Drosophila melanogaster: one gene and its partner. The protein of the gene in region 2 interacts with the protein of the main gene of each other region in a biochemical or structural test. Each region holds a gene or a part of one and is shown on either strand. Other genes may lie near its edges.

Evidence for each region. The genes of interacting proteins can lie anywhere in the genome.
Region 1: the proteins of Fbp1 (region 2) and Lsp1alpha form a complex in vitro, tested with the Drosophila melanogaster proteins (one study listed by BioGRID).

The regions. Positions count from the first base shown.
Region 1 is NC_004354.4:12,486,831-12,495,521, reverse strand, and holds Lsp1alpha (larval serum protein 1 alpha), read right to left. Parts: upstream 5,232-8,691; 5' UTR 5,140-5,231; coding exon 4,930-5,139; intron 4,863-4,929; coding exon 2,622-4,862; 3' UTR 2,540-2,621; downstream 1-2,539. Other genes in the region: Mks1 (meckel syndrome, type 1), read left to right, coding at 1-1,060; Cpr11A (cuticular protein 11A), read right to left, coding at 6,475-6,880, 7,026-7,205, 7,481-7,695, 8,429-8,440. UniProt on the Drosophila melanogaster protein: Larval storage protein (LSP) which may serve as a store of amino acids for synthesis of adult proteins.
Region 2 is NT_037436.4:14,092,722-14,102,180, forward strand, and holds Fbp1 (Fat body protein 1), read right to left. Parts: upstream 5,333-9,459; 5' UTR 5,239-5,332; coding exon 5,148-5,238; exon of another isoform or gene 5,088-5,147; coding exon 2,089-5,087; 3' UTR 1,868-2,088; downstream 1-1,867.

The DNA.
Region 1 (8,691 bases), on a different chromosome or scaffold from region 2:
CGAGCGGAATAACGATTGCCGACAGTTGTATGCCTTTGGCTTTGAGAATGTCACACCGCTAGAGGCCTACGACGATGATGGTTTCTCTGAGGAGGCGGATGGCGAGGATGAGCAGGAACTGGGCGATGGTTTACCCATCGAAGAAGATCTGCCCGAAGAAGCCTCCGCCGAGGAGATACTCGAGTTTTATCGCAGACGGCGAGAAGCAGCCAGCGAGAGGAGAAGTCTCCTCCAGTTCGAAATGCCGCCCAAGAGGATGAAGCGGGTCAGCCTGCTGCTGGAACTACAGGAAGGCCAGAACTTTGAGAACCCCAACATACATGTAAGATACTATCTGAAAGCACCAGCAAATACCTTTTATGAGGGTACACCTGGGGTGGATACCATGCAGGGAGCGACGGCCACGTGCAGGAATGCCGGCGACTGGAGGAGTGCCCATTTGGGTCACTGCTGGCAGGTGACCCTGCTGCTGGAGGAACAACATCATCCGGCTGATCTACTGCATCTATATTTTGAAGTGATCAGCATAGATAGCTGGCAGCGGGAGCGATGTGAGGGATATGCTCACTATGCGATACCGTTAACATCCGCCCTGCCAACGGACTCCATACGGCTGCAGTGCATCCGACCACTGGGCAACTGGCTGGATGCCCTCAATCGGTATTTCATAGGCGGTCGTCAGCTGTTCGACTTTGAGTCCTTCTTCGATGTACATCGGCAATCGGAAATGCATTCCCGTTTGAACTTCAACTCTGACAGGCCAATGACCACCACGGGAACACTTTCGCTCCGGCTTCAAAAGCTTCAGCAGCGCCAAATAGACACATCTGATCAGTTCCATCACCACTTCCATCTGGAACTCGGCAACGATAGTAGCGACGATGGCGATAGCAATGATGACGATGTCAGATCCAGTTCAAATCCGGATACTTCGAGGGCCACCACTCTGGACGAAGTAATGGCCGCCTTTGTGGAGGCCAGGAAACGGATCGAGCTGCTCCTGGGAAATAGTTCAGAAACAGCCTCACCATCATCTGCATACTACCAGGCTGAGTTTTAAGCCCTTCAATGAGTACAATAATATGATGACAAATAATTTTTTTTTATATAAACTATAATATTTGTATAATTATTAGTAATTAATTATATTATGAAAGACGTATTTTTTTTTATGTATGAGTAAAAAACGTGAGAAGCATATGTATGTACATTTGATGTGGAATATTTTGGATAGATTATTTAAGAACGAGCTCAAAGAGGTATATATTCAGACACCTATTTAAAAAAAAACCGATAATATTAATTTCAAAAATCGGAAAAACGGTATTGGCAAAATTTCATACATTTTTCGATGGGAATTTTAATCATAATTTTGCTAATAATAATCATTAAGATGTAATGTAAACAGTTTTGGACAGCTAATTACCATTGCTAACGACCCCAATCACTTTTTGAGGGATTTAGGAAAATTTATTTTTGAGTCAATTTTCTCATTTTTTGTAAGGGGTAACATCATCAAAATTTGAAAAAAATAGCAAAAAAATAGAATTCCTTTTTTTTGACACAGTTTGATGGGAAATTTAATTACGAGCTCATTGAGGTATGACATTCAATATTCAGGCAATTATTTTTAAATTTGTGGCAAAAAAACGGATTATTTATTGACGGAAATTCTAAAAAAACGGGTATTGCGAAAAACGTGATTTTACATACGGAATTTTCGTCATAACTTCTCTATAAAATGTCATATAGACGAAAGAATAACTGTTTTGAGCAGCTAATTACCAATGCTAACGATCCCTATCACTTTTTGAAGGATTTAGGAAAATTTATTTTTTTGACAATTTTTGCATTTTTTGTAAATTTTGCATCATCAAAATTTGCAAAAAATGGCGAAAAAATAGAATTCCAATTTTTGGACACAGTTCGATTTGGAATTAAATAACGAGCTCAACGAGGTATGACATTCCATATTGGGGCCATTATTTTAAAAGTTGTGGCAAAAAAACGGATTATTTATTGACCGAAATTTGAAAGAAACGGGTTTTTACCAAAAACTTGATTTTACAAACGGAATTTTCGTCATAACATCGCTAAAATTTGTCATATAGATGACAATATAACTGTTTTGAGCAGCTAATTACCAATCCTAACGATCCCTATCATTTTTTGAAGGACTTAGGAAAATTTATTTTTAGACCAATTTTCGCATTTTTTGTAAGGGGTCATCATCAAAATTTGCAAAAAATGGCAAAAAACTACATTTCGCATTTTTCCTAGTAGTTCGATTGGGAATTTCAATACGAGATCAACAAGGTATTTCATTCTAGATTGAAATTATTATTTCTAAAGTTATGCCAAAAAATTGATTCTTTTTGGACAAGAAATATATAAAATCGACTTTTTGCTAGAAATACAATGTAGAGCAAAAACTGTTTTGCAAAGACCTCCATTGTCGGTTATTATCATAGCTTGGCTAAGTTGAACCAGCTATCTAACGATCCCTTTGACAAGCTGAACAGAGAAATCTGAATACGTTGGATTTTCGAAAGTTTATTTCACTTTTTGCTATGCTTACTAACTACAATCGATCCATGGTCAAAATCGGAATGTTATCAGATCTACAACTTGAAGTACTTGGTGTAGTAGTCGTTGAAGAAGGAGTAATCGAAGTGACCGTAGTTGGTGTATTCCTTGTAGTTATAGTACTTCTCCATTGTATCCGCATGATAGATGGTCACATCCTTGAAGTACATGTTGGGCACGTGGAACTCGTACTCGTTGATTTCACGATCGAAGGGATATCCAAAAGGCAGGCTGTCCACGTGTCGAGCTCCGGATCCGATGCCGCACGAGTAGGTGTAGTCAAAAGTGGAGAACTGCTCGTGCTGTGGCGCCATGTATGGAACCACCATGAAGAACATTTGCATGGGCATGCCCTTCTTCCAGCCCATGGGCAGAACCAGACGATCGGGGAATCCGCAGTGGGGCTCAGTAAGGTCCAGCGGGTAATCATACTTGCCATCGAACGCCATCATCGTGTAGTAGTACAGCTCAGTGTAGGTGGTGCGATCCTTGACGGTCCAAGCGAAGTCCGTTGACTTCCTGGTGATCAGGTTGCTGCCCGTTTTCAGGGTATAGGTGAACTCATCGATTTCCATAAAGTTCATGCGGTTGTCCGTCAGCGAGATCATCCTGCCGTACTCATCGAACTTGGGTCCCAGGAAAGCGCGAATGACCACCTTCTCATCCCTGGCCGAATCGATGGTGTAGGTGTAGCTGAAGGGCTTGTGGTTCAAACGCATCTGGCGGGCAAACAAGGACTTGTCCCACAAGAATTGACCCTCGTGGAAGACCATCTTGCCGTTGAGCATGTTGGTCACATCGAAGTCAACCAGATCGAAGTAGGTAACCAGCTCGCTGACCTCCACATGCTTCAGTGTAACGCCCGGCATGAGAAGTTGCTCCTTGGTGTATTTGGGCAGATGGTGCATGAACTGGAAGTAGACCTGTGCGATCGACTTGTAGAACATATAGAACATGGGATCCCGCATCATTGTCTCGAAGTTTAGCATCACATTGGGGTACACCTCCATCTGATAGTAGTGGGTATCGGCGAAGTACATATGGGCCAGCATGTACCAGAATTGGAAGAAAATGTTGTCAATGGCATCCACATTGCCCTGCAGCATATTACCGATGATCTCAATGGACTCCGGTTTGCGCAGATCGATCATATGACCATCGGTCGTCTGGTAGTAGCCCAATTCGACGATGTTCTGGATGCGTTGCTGGAAGCCGGTGATCTTGTCCAGCATCTCAAAGTTGCCGTACGTCTCCAGTTCATAGTAGTTCTTGCGATAGCTGTAGCCAATGCCGTTGTAGTAGATCAATTGTGGATCGTAGCCCATCTCGATCTGGTGGAACCAGGAGAACTGAGGAATCTCGCCCAGGCCATGGGACAAACGCTCCATGTGGTATCGGCTGAGTAGCTGGTGCACATTGTACAGCCACCATTCACCGCGACGATCGTTCTGCAGGCCAAAAGTCTTGCCGTCCAGGAAGAAGGAGTAGTCCATGTTCAAGTAGTACCAGTAGCTGTTCCATCCCAGATCCTCGGTGAAGTAGGACAGCTTGGACTCCTCGTTGTAGAGGTACAGATCGCGGCTATAGTCCACCGGCATGTAGAACTTCTTCACGTCCTTCATCATCGTCAGCCAGTTGCTTTCCTGGTTGTACTCGTAGATGTTCTCGCGCAGTATGTAGTTGCTCTCACTGTACCAGTGCTCGCCCAGACCCATCAGCTTCCACCACTGCCATGTCTTGAAGTCCTTCATGTACATGTAGTCGCTGGTCTGGTACATGCTGCCAAATTCGTGTTCATATGTCTGTCCATGTCCGTGTGTCTTACCGTATCCGTATGCCATTCCTTGTTTGTATCCATGTTCGTATGAGGAGAAAGTTGGAATCTTGTGGTACACATCCATATACTCCTTTTCGTACAGGCTAGTCTTCATCCACATCTCATAGTCGAATTTCTCGGCCTCCATCACAAATTTGCTGTTGAAGAAGAACTGCGGGAAGATCTCATGGATGGCGGGCAGAACGAGTCCATGGAAATCATCGCGATGGATCACGGCCAGGGTCAGGGCATAGACGAACATGCCCTCGTTGAAGTGCATACGAGCGAAGGCCACATTGGTCATGAAAGTCTCCCAGTCCTTGGCGTAGTAGAAGAAGTTGAAGAGTCCACGTGCCTGCTTGGCATGGTGCTTAACCAGGGCGCCAAAGAACTCGCCCTTGGGCAGCAAAGCGTGTGCCTTGTGGGCCTCGAAGAACTTCTCCATGTACAGATCGAAGTGCTGCGAAGAATTGAAGGTGCATTTTGTGGTACTGACCACTCGGAATCCGCTTTCTTCTCCCACTTACCGTGTAGTGCTCCTTGTCGAAATAGAACTGCTTTCCCATCGCAATGTACTCTTCGAACATCAGCGGATCCTCCACGCGGTAGACGATCTCGAAGAGGAACTTCTGCTTCATCAGGAACGCCTTGTCAGCGACCTTGATGTCGTGGGTCTTGTGGTAAGCGGTCGCAGTGACCACGGCCACACAAGCCAGGAATGCGATGGCAAACTTCATCCTGGAAACTCCTTCTTTTGTTCGAAACACTCAACTTTAACTGCTCCGGATCGGATGCACTTGATGGATCCAATGCCTAAAGACTGTTGCCTTACCGACGCCCACGGGTCTGCTTATATAGCCACAGATTCCCGCGGTAATCGGAAATAACATATCTGTGACGACGGGATCAGGGATCATCGGGTGTATCTCAGGTGCTCGCCACGAACATCTGTTGCTACTGCACCGCAACAGCTTATCTCTGGACAGCCTACGTTGGTCCCTACATATCGAGTCCAGATTTGCATTCCAAAAATAGCGTTAGATTCGGTTCTTTGTCTGCAATTTCTGCACAAGTTTCAATCGCTTTGAATTTTAATTATTTATATGTATATAATATAGAGATATTACCAATCATATACATATTACGAACTAAAGTTAAGCATTGGCAGGCATTATTTTGAGAAAAGTGTGTACAACGTGGCGTATGAGCAATGTCATAACTTTGACCATTTGGCTACCACTCTATTCCGTTTTTAAAAAAGTTTTAAATTCCATATACATAACGAATTTATCAAGCAAACTTGTCTGCTGCTAAGAGCCTTAACTAGAAGTCATTAAATATCGCTTTAATTTATATATTTATATGTAGATGCAGATGAATTTCATACGTTTGTTGCATGCTTTTAGGCATTCGAACAAAATCATAATCTGTAATAATAGATTCTGTATCTAAGTTGGAAAATTGTATATGCCATGCTTATAAAACAGTAAACAAACTATTCATTTTCAGTTAATAAAACTTAACTTTATTCTGAAACAACGAATTTTTTTTTGTAACGATGCTGAATAAAATTTCAACAATTGCTTGCAATAACATTTTATTACAAAGCCAAAATATATATATAAATATCCCCATCCATATTATTCCTCAATTAAAACACATTAAAACTTTGATCGTTAGTTTAGCCATTTTATTTACTACTAATATCACTCAGTGTATATACATAGATTCGTTTGTGTCTTTGCTCGGGATTTGTGTGTGTGTTTGTTTTTTTTGTGTGTGTGTGTGCGTGTTTTTGTGTAGGCTAGATATATAACATATATCAGTGTATAATATCATATAAAATTGTGCTCCGTGTATAACACTAAAAAATGATAAAAAAAAATTTCGCTAGCTCTGTTTTACTCTTCATTTGCCTGTTGGAGTTGCACTTAAAAACTAAATACTTGCAGCTGGGGGGAAAATCGAGGATCGGGAATCGGGAATCGGGAATCAGGAATCGGGAATCGGGTGGGGCATAAATCTTGCGGGAGAAGGGTGTTGGATAAGGGTATATCTAAATAATAATCGCCTTATGCGGTGGGCAGATACAGACGAGATGGCGTCGCCAGGGGCACCTGAGGTGGCTGATAATCGTAGCCATTGCCGTTGCCATTTCCGTATCCGTTTCCAACTCCATTTCCATTTCCGTATGCGTTTCCAGCTCCATTTCCTTGTCCGTTTCCAACTCCATTTCCGTATCCGTTGCCAACTCCATTTCCGTATCCGTTTCCAACTCCATTACCGTAAGCATTGCCATTTCCATAGGGAGACGTGTAGCTATAGTCATCGCCACTCTGTCCACTGCCCCTCAGAGGACCTTGCGATCCTTGATCGGAGTCCAGGGTCTGCTGCAGGAACTGGAAACGGTTCTTGTTGCCCAACAGGCTGCTGGGATCCACGGTCTGGCGCTGTCCGGCAGAAGCCAAAGGCTGGGGTCTAAAATATATAAATATAAAATAAGTTTTTTATATTCATTATATCATTTGCAATAATAGTGTATGAAACTTCTGATTTGTACGCAAATGTGCTAGTTTGAAGAAGTTCTTAAACGTTTTTTTTGTAAAGTGTATTGGTTACTCACTCGGGAATGTCCAGATCCAGCTCGGTGATGGGATGATAGCCGAACTCATCGGCGGTGTAACGGGTCTTGTACCGCTTGCCATCGGCGCCGGTGAACGAGTAGGAGCCGCTGACCACGAAGGTCTTGTCGTCCTTCAGTTTGCCCACGCTGCTCACTTCGATGCCGTTCTGGGTCTTCAGTCTGAAAAAAAAGTTCATTTTAACTTTAGTAATGCTTCGTAAATTATTTAAAAAAATATATCAAATTACTTGATGCTTTGTAAATTATTTAAAAAAATATATCAAATTACTTGAATTTATTTGCTATGCATCAAAAGTTATTACAGATCTATAAACCTATGTTAAAGTAGTTTTCTTTTAGACTGCGATTCAACTTCATATATAAATATATAATTATGTTTTAATTTAGCCAAACACTATCACTTTATGAACTATATAGGTACCATAGATACTCACTCCAGCTTGAATTTCTTGCCCGAGTTGTAGTTCTGGAGGGTTTCGGTCTTGGCCTTCATGACATCGCCGCTAAAGTGCACCGCCGGCTTGTCGTCATCGATGTCCTCGGGCAGGGTGTAGATATCGCTGGGATTGTACTTGAAGAGGTCCAGATTGCGATCTGTCAGATGCTTGACATCGGCAGCGGCCAGAGCAGCGAAACCCAGAAGGATCAGCTAAAAGATAGAATGCCTGGTTAGTGCCACTTGTCACACGATGCATTAGTCATATCTGTGGATCACAGTCGTTACGATTTATTTTTTTCGCATTCGGATTTGGATACGGATTTTGATTTGGATTTGAATTGGGATTCGTATTTTGCATTTCGCATTAACGGGCAATTAATCAAAGTCGCGCGCGAATCGCTGGCGTTTCTGACCGCACAGCGTCGCTTTGTCTCGCAATTCTCTCGTTTATTTATTTTTTTTTTCGTTTTTTTTTTAGTCTTTTTAATTTTTTTTATCTATATTTGCTGTGATTTATTTGATTTGGTTTCGGGCCGAGGCACTAATCATAATGGGTTCCAACCGTTTCGATATTTGTCATTCGTCTGTTTTGACGTCGATGAGCTATGCGGCTGCTCAAGGTGATATTCAAACACTTTAGGTTTCGGACTTTCCTTAAAGTGTGGGTCATTAGTTCTTTAATTTGGCATACTAATTCTTAGGTAAAGCTTAAAAAAAACTAAAAAGCAGCCTCGCAGGAACTTCGGTTAAATTGATTTTAATGTGTATCTTTTGTTTGAGATTCAAAATAAGCTTTAAAGTCATTTCTGTGGCTTAAAAGTATTCACACTTTTGAAGGACATTTTTTGCGCGCACTTTCACTTGATCCTTTTTTTTATTGAGACACCACAAAAAAAAAAATAACTCATTAAATATATACTTTTCAGTACTTTCGGGCACTTACAAAACTCTTCATTTTTATGTGTGTTTTTTTTTTCGTAACGAGGACTAATTTATGTTTTTTTTTTTTTATTGTAGCGGCTCGGTTAGTTCCGATGCTCACAGATTCTAGCAAATAAATACAAACGATGCGACTTCTTGTTTCCTTATATATGGTATTATCAGCGACGCCGGCAGCGAAGTCGACAGAAATAGGAACCGGACAACGAACTGAGCCTCTGTCGGCGTCGCAGCCGCTTAGAATCAAAAAAAGCCAAAGTTTGTCAA
Region 2 (9,459 bases):
TACTTATATATTTGATTTTTGTTTTTGGTATAAACTGGTAATTTAGGAAACTAACAATCAGTTTTTATGAGTATTAATTTTGTAATGTTACCTAAACTGTACTTTGCAAGCATATTTATTAAATTATAAAACTAAACAAATGTGGTAAATTGTGTAACTAATTATGAAGTAATACTTCTTATTTCAAATCTTTAAAATATATTTTAAAGTGTTCTTTTCGGGATGTTCTTAAGACGCTATCTGCACCGCTGCAAAGGGGCGCTCGCTAATCACAAAAGTTTTCGCCTTTCAGCTACCTTCAATTCGGACTTGGGAATGGGAGGAAAAGGGCATGAACCGATAAACTTACGGGTTAAATAGCCTTTGGCCCCAAACAGCCTCTGTCTGATTAACAAGACATAATTACTTTCGCATTAGGCGGCTGCCTAATAGCTCGTGTAATGCCCCAACTCTCTGGAGCCCCTAATCAGCTCATCAGACACAACAAACTAAAGAAAACAAGATTTTAAATTTCAAATTACAAAATACAAAAAAGGCACATCAACAACAGCGGTGGCAGCAAAATAAAATGGAATGAACGGCGAACCCACTCGAAGATAATGAAAGTGCATTGAGGCGGTAAAAGTCGGGGAAACAGTATCAGGTCGAGTGCGAACATTTTTCCATTATGCAACGTGCCACATTCTTTGCCAAGAACAAGGCGAGAAACTAAGAAGTGATCGACTAAGTTGTAGCTCTTTTTCAAATTGAAAACTTAGAACCATAGACGCGAAAGTAATAATAATAATAATTTCGGTAATAATTTCGAAAAAACTTATCGAGTATGTAAGTTTTGCAGCTAAGATACCACAATTTCACTTTGTTGATGAAAGCGGAACTTGTGTGGAACGAATACAAAACCTAAAAAATATATTAGATAAATTTAACAATTTTATAATAATAATAGCAATATATATTATATTGTATTAGGTTTCAGTGCTACCCTTGTAGTATTCAGATGCCACAGGGTATCACCTCAGGTGTGAGGACAGGGCAACCTGGAAAAATGCAACGTTTAACTGCCTGCGGTGAAATGTCTACCGTTCTTTGGTTGGTCGACTTCCCAGCTGCCCCCATATCCCCAATCCCCAGGATTCGCTTCTAGATCCGGGCGTGATGGGAAAACGCTTCTATAGCGGACCAAATACATATAGAGGGTGAAAAGCCGTTTGGATCCGTTTGGACCTGAGCCAGCCAGTGACAACGAAAGCTCGACAACGGAAAGTGTGATTATATTTTCATTTTCAATTTTTTACGGCCAATTAATTTGGCAATTGACGCTTCGCTGGGCGTCTGCGCTATGGTTCAGTTATATATGTATATGTATTCGTATACGTATTTCCCTGTCGTTGTTGCAAATTGAGTTGTGTGGCAAGAATAAGAAAAGTCTATTATAGTGCCAGGATGGGTTGCCTGCCAGCCATTTGGTCGTTGCATTGTCTGGCTATCCTGGCATCCGCTTGTTCTGTGGGCGGGCATTGTTTGGGGGCGTGGCAGCCGCCTGTAATCCCTACCATCAGCAATTCCAATGCCCCTCATCCCGCTCCACGATGGACATGCAATTTGCATTGAAATTGTTTTTCGAAATTAGAAAAGGTGAACGGCACTTGGGTATATGAGGTGCGATAAAACGATAAAACCATTTTGGGGGATAATCGAGAAAAGTGACAATTTCAATAAGGAGCAAAATTGGAGGTTTAGGGGAGCCCTTAATAGCAAGAGTTTTCCCAAAAGGATACAATTTGTGTAGGCAATGATCAGGGCTTTATAACTTTACCAGTGAACATTTTGTTAACTTATTTTTGCGGCCAATATGAAACAAAAGTTTAATGCTTGATTGCATTGCATTGCTTGCAAAAAACTTTAATGACAAATATATATATATATATATATGAATTACAAGAGTATTTAACATTTTGCTATTTTGCTAAATTGATTTAGATTCGATTAATTAAAACTAGGGTTCGACAGGGGATTTTCGGATAGGTCCATTGAATAGCAGCTGGCCAGACGATCGGTTTAACATATTTGGAACTTCGTATTGGGAACTTAGTTCTCCTGAATGATGACCACATCCTGAAGCAGGACATTGGTCAACTGCAGGAGCTCCTGCTCGTTATGGATGGGCCGGTCCAGAGGATAACCCAATGGGCGGGCATCACGAAGAGAGGCGGAGCCAATGCCAATGGTGATAGCGGGAACGACGTCCTGAACCTGCAGCTCAACCAGAGGAGAAACCACGACCAGGAGTTGCATGGGGAGACCCTCGGGCCTTCCACGGGGTAGCAGCAAGTGCTGGGGGAAGCGTCCGTTCTCGCCGACCAGCTGTTGGATACCCACGACCTGTTGCGCCTGCTGACCCTTCAATTGCAGCATCACTTGGCGGTAGATCTCCACCAGGGGCGTCACATCGCTAGTTGTCCAGGGGATATCGATGGACCTGCGATGAATGCGGTTGCGTCCATTCTCCAGCTGCACTTGGATGGCATCGAGAAGAACGAAGTCACGTCGGCGCTCATCCAGGGAAGCTCCTTGCCTTCCCTGTTGATCCTCTGCGGGTCCCAGGAAGATGCGAATAATAGCATCCTGATCCTGATCCGAAGTGATGTCCATGTCAATGGTGAAGGCCTTGTTGTTGAGGCGACGCTGGCGTCCCACAATCTCCTGCTGGATGCCCTGAACCTGCTGCTCGACCAAGTTGCTCAGGTCCAATTCGTGCTCCTCGATGCGAGTGCGCAGTTTATCCACACGAACATCGTTGATCGAAACACCGCGCATCTGCAGTTGCTCCTGGCGGTAGCCTCCAAGGATTTGTTCACGCTGTTCGTCCACGATCCTCACAATCCGGCGCAGGGTGTACTGCACGACGGGATCGCTGAGGCGGATGCCCAAGCCAGTACGATCGATTTGCTCAATGTTGTTGTCCTGGACCACCTGGCGGATAATGGTCATGATGCCAACCTGACCAAGGCGACCCAGCAGTACATCGGCGATCAGGGATTCCACTTGGCGTTGATCGATTACCTGGCCACGCAGCGAGTTGACATTCACCTGGTTCAGCACCTGACCAATAACCTCCTGGATACGCTGCTCAATCTGGCCGATCTGGGCGAGGACTTGACGGCTGCGCTGGGAATTGATTCGGATTTGGTTCAAGCGGAGGGCATATCGCTCGGATTGCGTCAGGCGGGGATTGTTGATCAACTGCTGCTGCTCTTCGATCAGCTGTCCCTGGGCGATGCTTTCCTGGTTAAGACGTGCGACCAGCTGGCGAAGATTGTGCAGGACAATTTCGCTGAGGCGGTTGTTTTGCTGACGGAGATTGGGAAGGCTGCGGCGGCTTCGTAGTCCCTGTCGGTGCACCACATTCACATCGTCATCGTTGACATCGTCATCATCATCGTTCTGGTGCTTTTGCAGACGCTGCTGGCGGTTCCTTTGCAGCATCTCAAGGATCTCATCATCGGTCATCAGCTTCAGACGGTTTTCGCCGCGGATTAGCTTCAGAATGTCCTCATCTTGGATGGGGCGCTCACCCATGACGCGGCGACCCTCGCCAATGGAGTTAATCCTGCGGGGAAAATGCATCTGTTGTTGCTGGATGTCCTGGTTGTCCTGGTTGAGGCGGCGTCGGTTAATATGCACCAATCGCTCGTCGTCGCGGCTCACGCTCTCCAACTGATCGGCATAGTTTTGACGCTCCTGCTGGACTCCGAAAGTGCGACCTTGTGTCAAGATGTAGTCCTGCTTCTGCCAGTTGTTCTGACGCTCCTGACGCACATCATCCAGCTGACCAACACGACGACCCTCACTGAGGCGGTCTCCTCTCACCAAACCCATGAAACGCTGGCGACCGTTCAGCTGATCCTGCTGCTGATCTTGTTGGATGGCGTTCAAACGGCGACGGCTCACGTGAAGCAGACGGTCACTGTTCACGCTAACGGTGGGCAGGTTATGAGCTCCTCCAATGCGGAGACCTCCCTGGCTGATACCACGCTGCAGCTGGACACGACCCATGCGAATATCCTGATCATCATCGTCATCATTGTCGTCGTTGTCGTCATCCCGGCGGAGGAGACGCTGGAAACGATCCTTTTGGTTTCCATAGATGTTCTGACCCTGATATTCATCCTGTTGCTCCAGAAGGCGGCGGCGACTCACACGGAGTAGGCGTCCAGTGTCTACATCCTGACCCAGATCTCTTTCCTGGTTGTTATCTTGGTACTGCACGCGCTGACGACCGACCCATTGCTCTTCACGTTGATCATTGTTGATCAATTGGCTCTGCTCCAACTGAGTAACATCCTCCAGAAGGGCAAGTTCCTGTATGAGATTTTGAACAAAGTTCTGCAACTCAATATCGTCCGTCAGCAGAGAGGTGCCCTCAACCTGTCCCTGGTTCTCGGCACGGACAACGACGCGTTTCTGGCCCAAAACGTTCTGGATGTTCTGCTGTTTCCTTAGAGCCATCTGCATGTGGATCTCCCTCCAGGGCATCAGGATGCTCATCACTGGGTTCATAGCCCGCTGGCGCATACCCACGATGTCCATGAGCGATGGGCGCTGGGTTTGTTCCCTTAGGACGCTGCGCACCTGCTGAATCACTTCCTCATCCAGATACAGTTCGGGGAGCAGCTCCTGGACAGCGGGCACGATCAGAGCTTGAGTGTCCTCACGATCGCGAATGGCCAGAGCCAAGGCATTAACCAGCAGGACAGGGTTAATGTTACGGCGCAGGTAGACCACATTACGGCGAAGGGTGTCAAAGTCCTGGGCGCGAGCCAGCAGGCGGTATATGCCACGCAGCTGCTGCACATGCTCCAAACGACCCACGGAGTACACCTGGTGCTCGTCGAGGAGGCGACGCTGGCGATCCAGATCGATGACGTTATGCATCACCTTATCAATGCCGCCACGATAACGCTGACTGTCTGCAATCAGACCCACATCTAGATTGATGAGCTCACTCTGCTGTAGAGGCTGACGAATATTCTGGACGATATCCAGGATAAACTTTTGGAGCTGCAGATCCTCCAAGGACATGCGGTCTGCGAAAAAGGGGAAATAAATAGTATATAAATCCTTTCATTTGCGCGTTACCACATTACCAATACCCTGGACCCTGTCCTGATTCGTAGTTATCCTTCCAGCAGCCACAACGCCGGCCGCAAAGGCCACCAACAGCATGATTCTGTTCATCTTGATTGTAACAACTATTGATGTTAACTGATCAATTGAGAAACTGAAGGATTGGAGAGCTCAGATGGATTTAACTTGCTGCAACACAGACCAGCAGGCAACTGCATTTTTCAGTCCGCTCGCTGCAGCTTTTATACCCGAAATTCCTATCGACCCAAAGTGCATCCTATAGGCCTATCGCTTGACTCCCGATTGGGTTGAATGAATTTTGCTGGTGCGAAAATATGTTTATCAGCCCAGAAGCTCCTAAAAAAACCGCTCACTCATTATGCAATTAAAATTAAATAAATTGTTGTCATGGATTGTTCCCGAAAGCGGTGGGGCCTTTCGGGATTCTGACCAAATAGGGTACGTAACTCCGGTTCGTTTCTATTTTGTGGGTCACAAGCCAGTCAATCTATCTTAATTGGTTCATTGATCTACAATTCTGCAAGCCACTTCTTGATCTTTTGGCTTTTGTTTGCTGGCCACGCTGATTAGTCTATTTTCGGAGCAAACATCTTGCAAAGTGCAGTTCGCATTTGTATTGTAGCATGTTAAGAAAGTATCAAGTTACATGCAATATGTTATTAATTAAAATTAAATTAGAAAGAAAAGGAATATGAAGTTCATCCATTTCATCATGCAAATTTGTTTACTGATAAGGACAAGGAAGTCAACATCTCTAAGCATGGAAAAATTCGACTTTGTGCTGATAAGTTATAGAATTTATGAATTTGTTTATGTGCAAGAAATCAGCATAATCGGTGAACGCGTGACTTGTTTGACAAATTAATACATTATTATTGCTGCTAATTCATTTGAACTTAGTGAGTGCTCTAATTGCATGTTAAATGGTGCTTGTTTAGAAATATTTATGCTTAAATCCATTGAAAGATCTTAGCGGTTTCTTATAAGCTGATCGATCTATGGGCTTATGCATGTTTTTTGGGGTGTCTATCTAAAATTCCAATACGAATGCTTAGAATAAACATGTGAATACACTTAGAGTGCAAAAAGTTGCAGAGTTGGAGCCGGAAAATGACGGCCACGTAGCATTTGGCAGCGTCATTGTTCGCGTGAGTGAGTGATTGGCGATTGTGAAAGGATAAAGGATTGCAGTGGGTGGGTGAGCAATGCGATGGGCGAGTCGATGCAATTTTTCTATTCACATTTAAATTGGCAATTCGTTTGTCCGTGGCTTTTGTGTTCGCCCAGCGATTTTTGTTGCCATTTTTTTTTTTTGTTGGTTGGTTGTCTGTGCTGCGACAATTTTGCAACGTGCCTGGCATGCAACGGAAGTGAAAAGCGCTACGTGGGTGGCCATAGCTTAGATTTCGCCTAGGGATGTACTATATCCCAAAGAAAATGACAATGCGATTCATCGGCAAGGTAAACATATGAATAAAGTAATTCAAATGTCTTTAAATATTTAAGGCAAACAAGAGAGTGGTAAGGCTTCTTACTGCAGATTGGTAACTATACATATATAAGCAGATAAATGGTAAAAGCTTTCTCAACCTTTTACATTCAAACTAAGATATGATAATGAGATACGATTTTACATTCAAACTAAGATATGATAATGATATTCAGGAATTTTGGCCATCGCTATCTTGGCTCGACTGTAATTGTTGTTGCTACTGTTCCTTTTCTAATGTAATTGCAATTGTTTGGCAGCTCCGGCCGGGTCATTCAGCCTTTGGATTTCAGTTTTTCCTACCAGAAAATGGGCAGTAAAAGCAACTTTGATTTGCCTCTGCTGCACTTTGCACGCCTTTTTTTTTCCCAACTTGCCATTTTTATGCATGCCAAGCGCATTTGTACGCCATTAATTGCTTCTTTATGCCACTCGTCCCCTTTTGCTGCATGTTCAGCAATTATGCAGCTACAATTTCGCATTAATTGCTCCTTTGTGCCGCAGGGGTGTCCTTTTTGCACCCACTGTAGCCGGAGTGAAAAAAAAAACATTCCGGCATTGTGAGCCGCTGCATTTACGGCGGAGGCGACAGCTGCTCGCTTTAATTGCTCCCGGCTTTGGACATTCGAATGGAATGCGCTTTATGTGCATAGTAATGTCATCCATCGCCCATCCTTTAAACTCATTTTTTCTGGCTGACTTCGGTTTCCTCTTGATACCTTTTAATTCAACCAGCAAAGTTCCTTCCTCGATAAGGTATAAAATACTCAAACCATTATGACTATGCCATTTTACGATCATTGATCTCGTTTGCGCTGTTTCCAAGCGATTCTACTTTGTAATCTCTTAATATGTTATGCTATCAAAATAGGGCCATGCGGTTAATCGTCGTGGGCTTCTTATCGCAGTTCGCAGTTCACCTTTCGAAAAACAGTGCACACTCAAATTTGTGGATTAAAAACAAAGTTGCTGTATTTTACCTTATATCTCTTAATAAAAAAATCACAATAATTTATAAACATACATATATTCAATTACAAGTTTCTACCGCCATTCAGTATAATGTTTTCACCAACTTTGCATCCTTCTCGAAGGAGTGATAAGCTGTATGAAATCGACGACACATCCTTGTCTCGAGTGCCAGTTGTCCTTGTTCTCCCGTGAAAGTCTCTGCCAAGTCAAGTTGAAGTGGTGGATGTTTTCGGCTTCTTTCTGCGATCTGGATACTGAGGATTCGGGATTTGGTTTCATTTTCGGCTTTGTCGCCGCTCGCTTTGACTTAAATGCGATTTAATGCCTTTTTTGTTTGTCTTCCATGCGTCGGATATCCCGTCGACGAGCTGTGGGCGTGATAAACCACATCCTCCCCTTTGCCATCCAGCCACACCCACTTTCTAGGCTGCTAATTTGCTTGGCGTTGTTTTTTTTTTTTTTATGTCTCAACTTTGGCTTGGCGTCTTAATCTTATATCCTTTTCGCGTTTTCCTTCTTTTCGGCTGGCTTGGCATTAAAAAAATATTGTGCGTCCTTTGTTGGGCTGATAAAACTGCTTACAAATGCTTAAAAAATTAAAATTTATTACATGCGATTATGTTGGTTGCCGAGGCCTGGCGACCTTTTGCCATGAAATAGCCTAGAAAATGCAAATGGAATGTCATCACTTTGGCGGTTCAACATATTTCCGGGCATAACTTTTTTCTGTGGACATTGGCCAATTGATTCATGGCCACACAATATCCTTTGCGTAATGGTCTTTCTGGGCCACCTTAAACAGTCAGCAGTCACCAGTCAGCAAAATGAAATGAAATGGAATGGAATGAAAGAAAAAGTACAGCAAATAAATATAAATATAGTAATAATGAAGCATTGGGCCAAAAACGAAGAAGAAAAGCCAAAGTCTGCTGCCAAAAGAAAATATTTCTTTTTATCACAACGGATGTGAGTGTGCCAGGACTGAAATAGCAATGGATGGAGAAGGGACAGGAACGGAGGTGGAGTCGGGTTGTGGAAGTGGCGATAGAGTCCTTGGGCTGGGGTTACCTTCGCCAGCATCCTGCCAAATAAAACAAAAAATTCCCCGACTTGAATAGTGTGAGTACTAGTACTTGGTTCGCTTGAATGGCAAAAGAATGGGAATCCCAGTCGCTATTTTATCAGTGCACTAATAAAAATAAATCGTAGTTCCATGTCACAAAAAGCAAAAGTTGCATGTAAACTAGTTTTATGGCTTTAAATTAGATCGAAAACTGTATATAAAGAAAATAACTCAAGAACATTCAGTTGATATGTATATACGTGGATATGAAAATCCCGAGAATGTGACATACATTTCTTTTCGGTGTACTTTTGTCACCACGACTCTAGGACTTCCCGAACTCGCTGCCCACCCACTTCCTCCGCACAAAGCAAATCAAACAAACTTTTATTTCACACGATTTTCGCTCTGCTATTTTTCTCCCCCACTGACTCGCTTTCAATGTTTTTATTTGTCTTGAAACAAGTGAGTATAGCGAACTGATGCTGATGCTGATGCTGATGATCGGGGTCGAAGGTGAGGGGTCGCACGTGCAGCGCGTGTCTGTTAGTTTTGATAGTCAGTTGACTTCGCTTGTGGATGCCACCCAAGCAAGTGACCCGTTAAATTTTTGTGATAATTGCTATATTCGAGTGCCGAGTTCTCGGTAAATAGCTTTGAGATACTTTCATCAAGGGGTTGCAGTTTTGAATAAAATAAAATATTTTTAAATTAAATGTCTATATATCAGTTAGAAAATGAACGGTCTGTCCCAGTCCAATTGCAATGGGCAATTGCAATGCAGCCT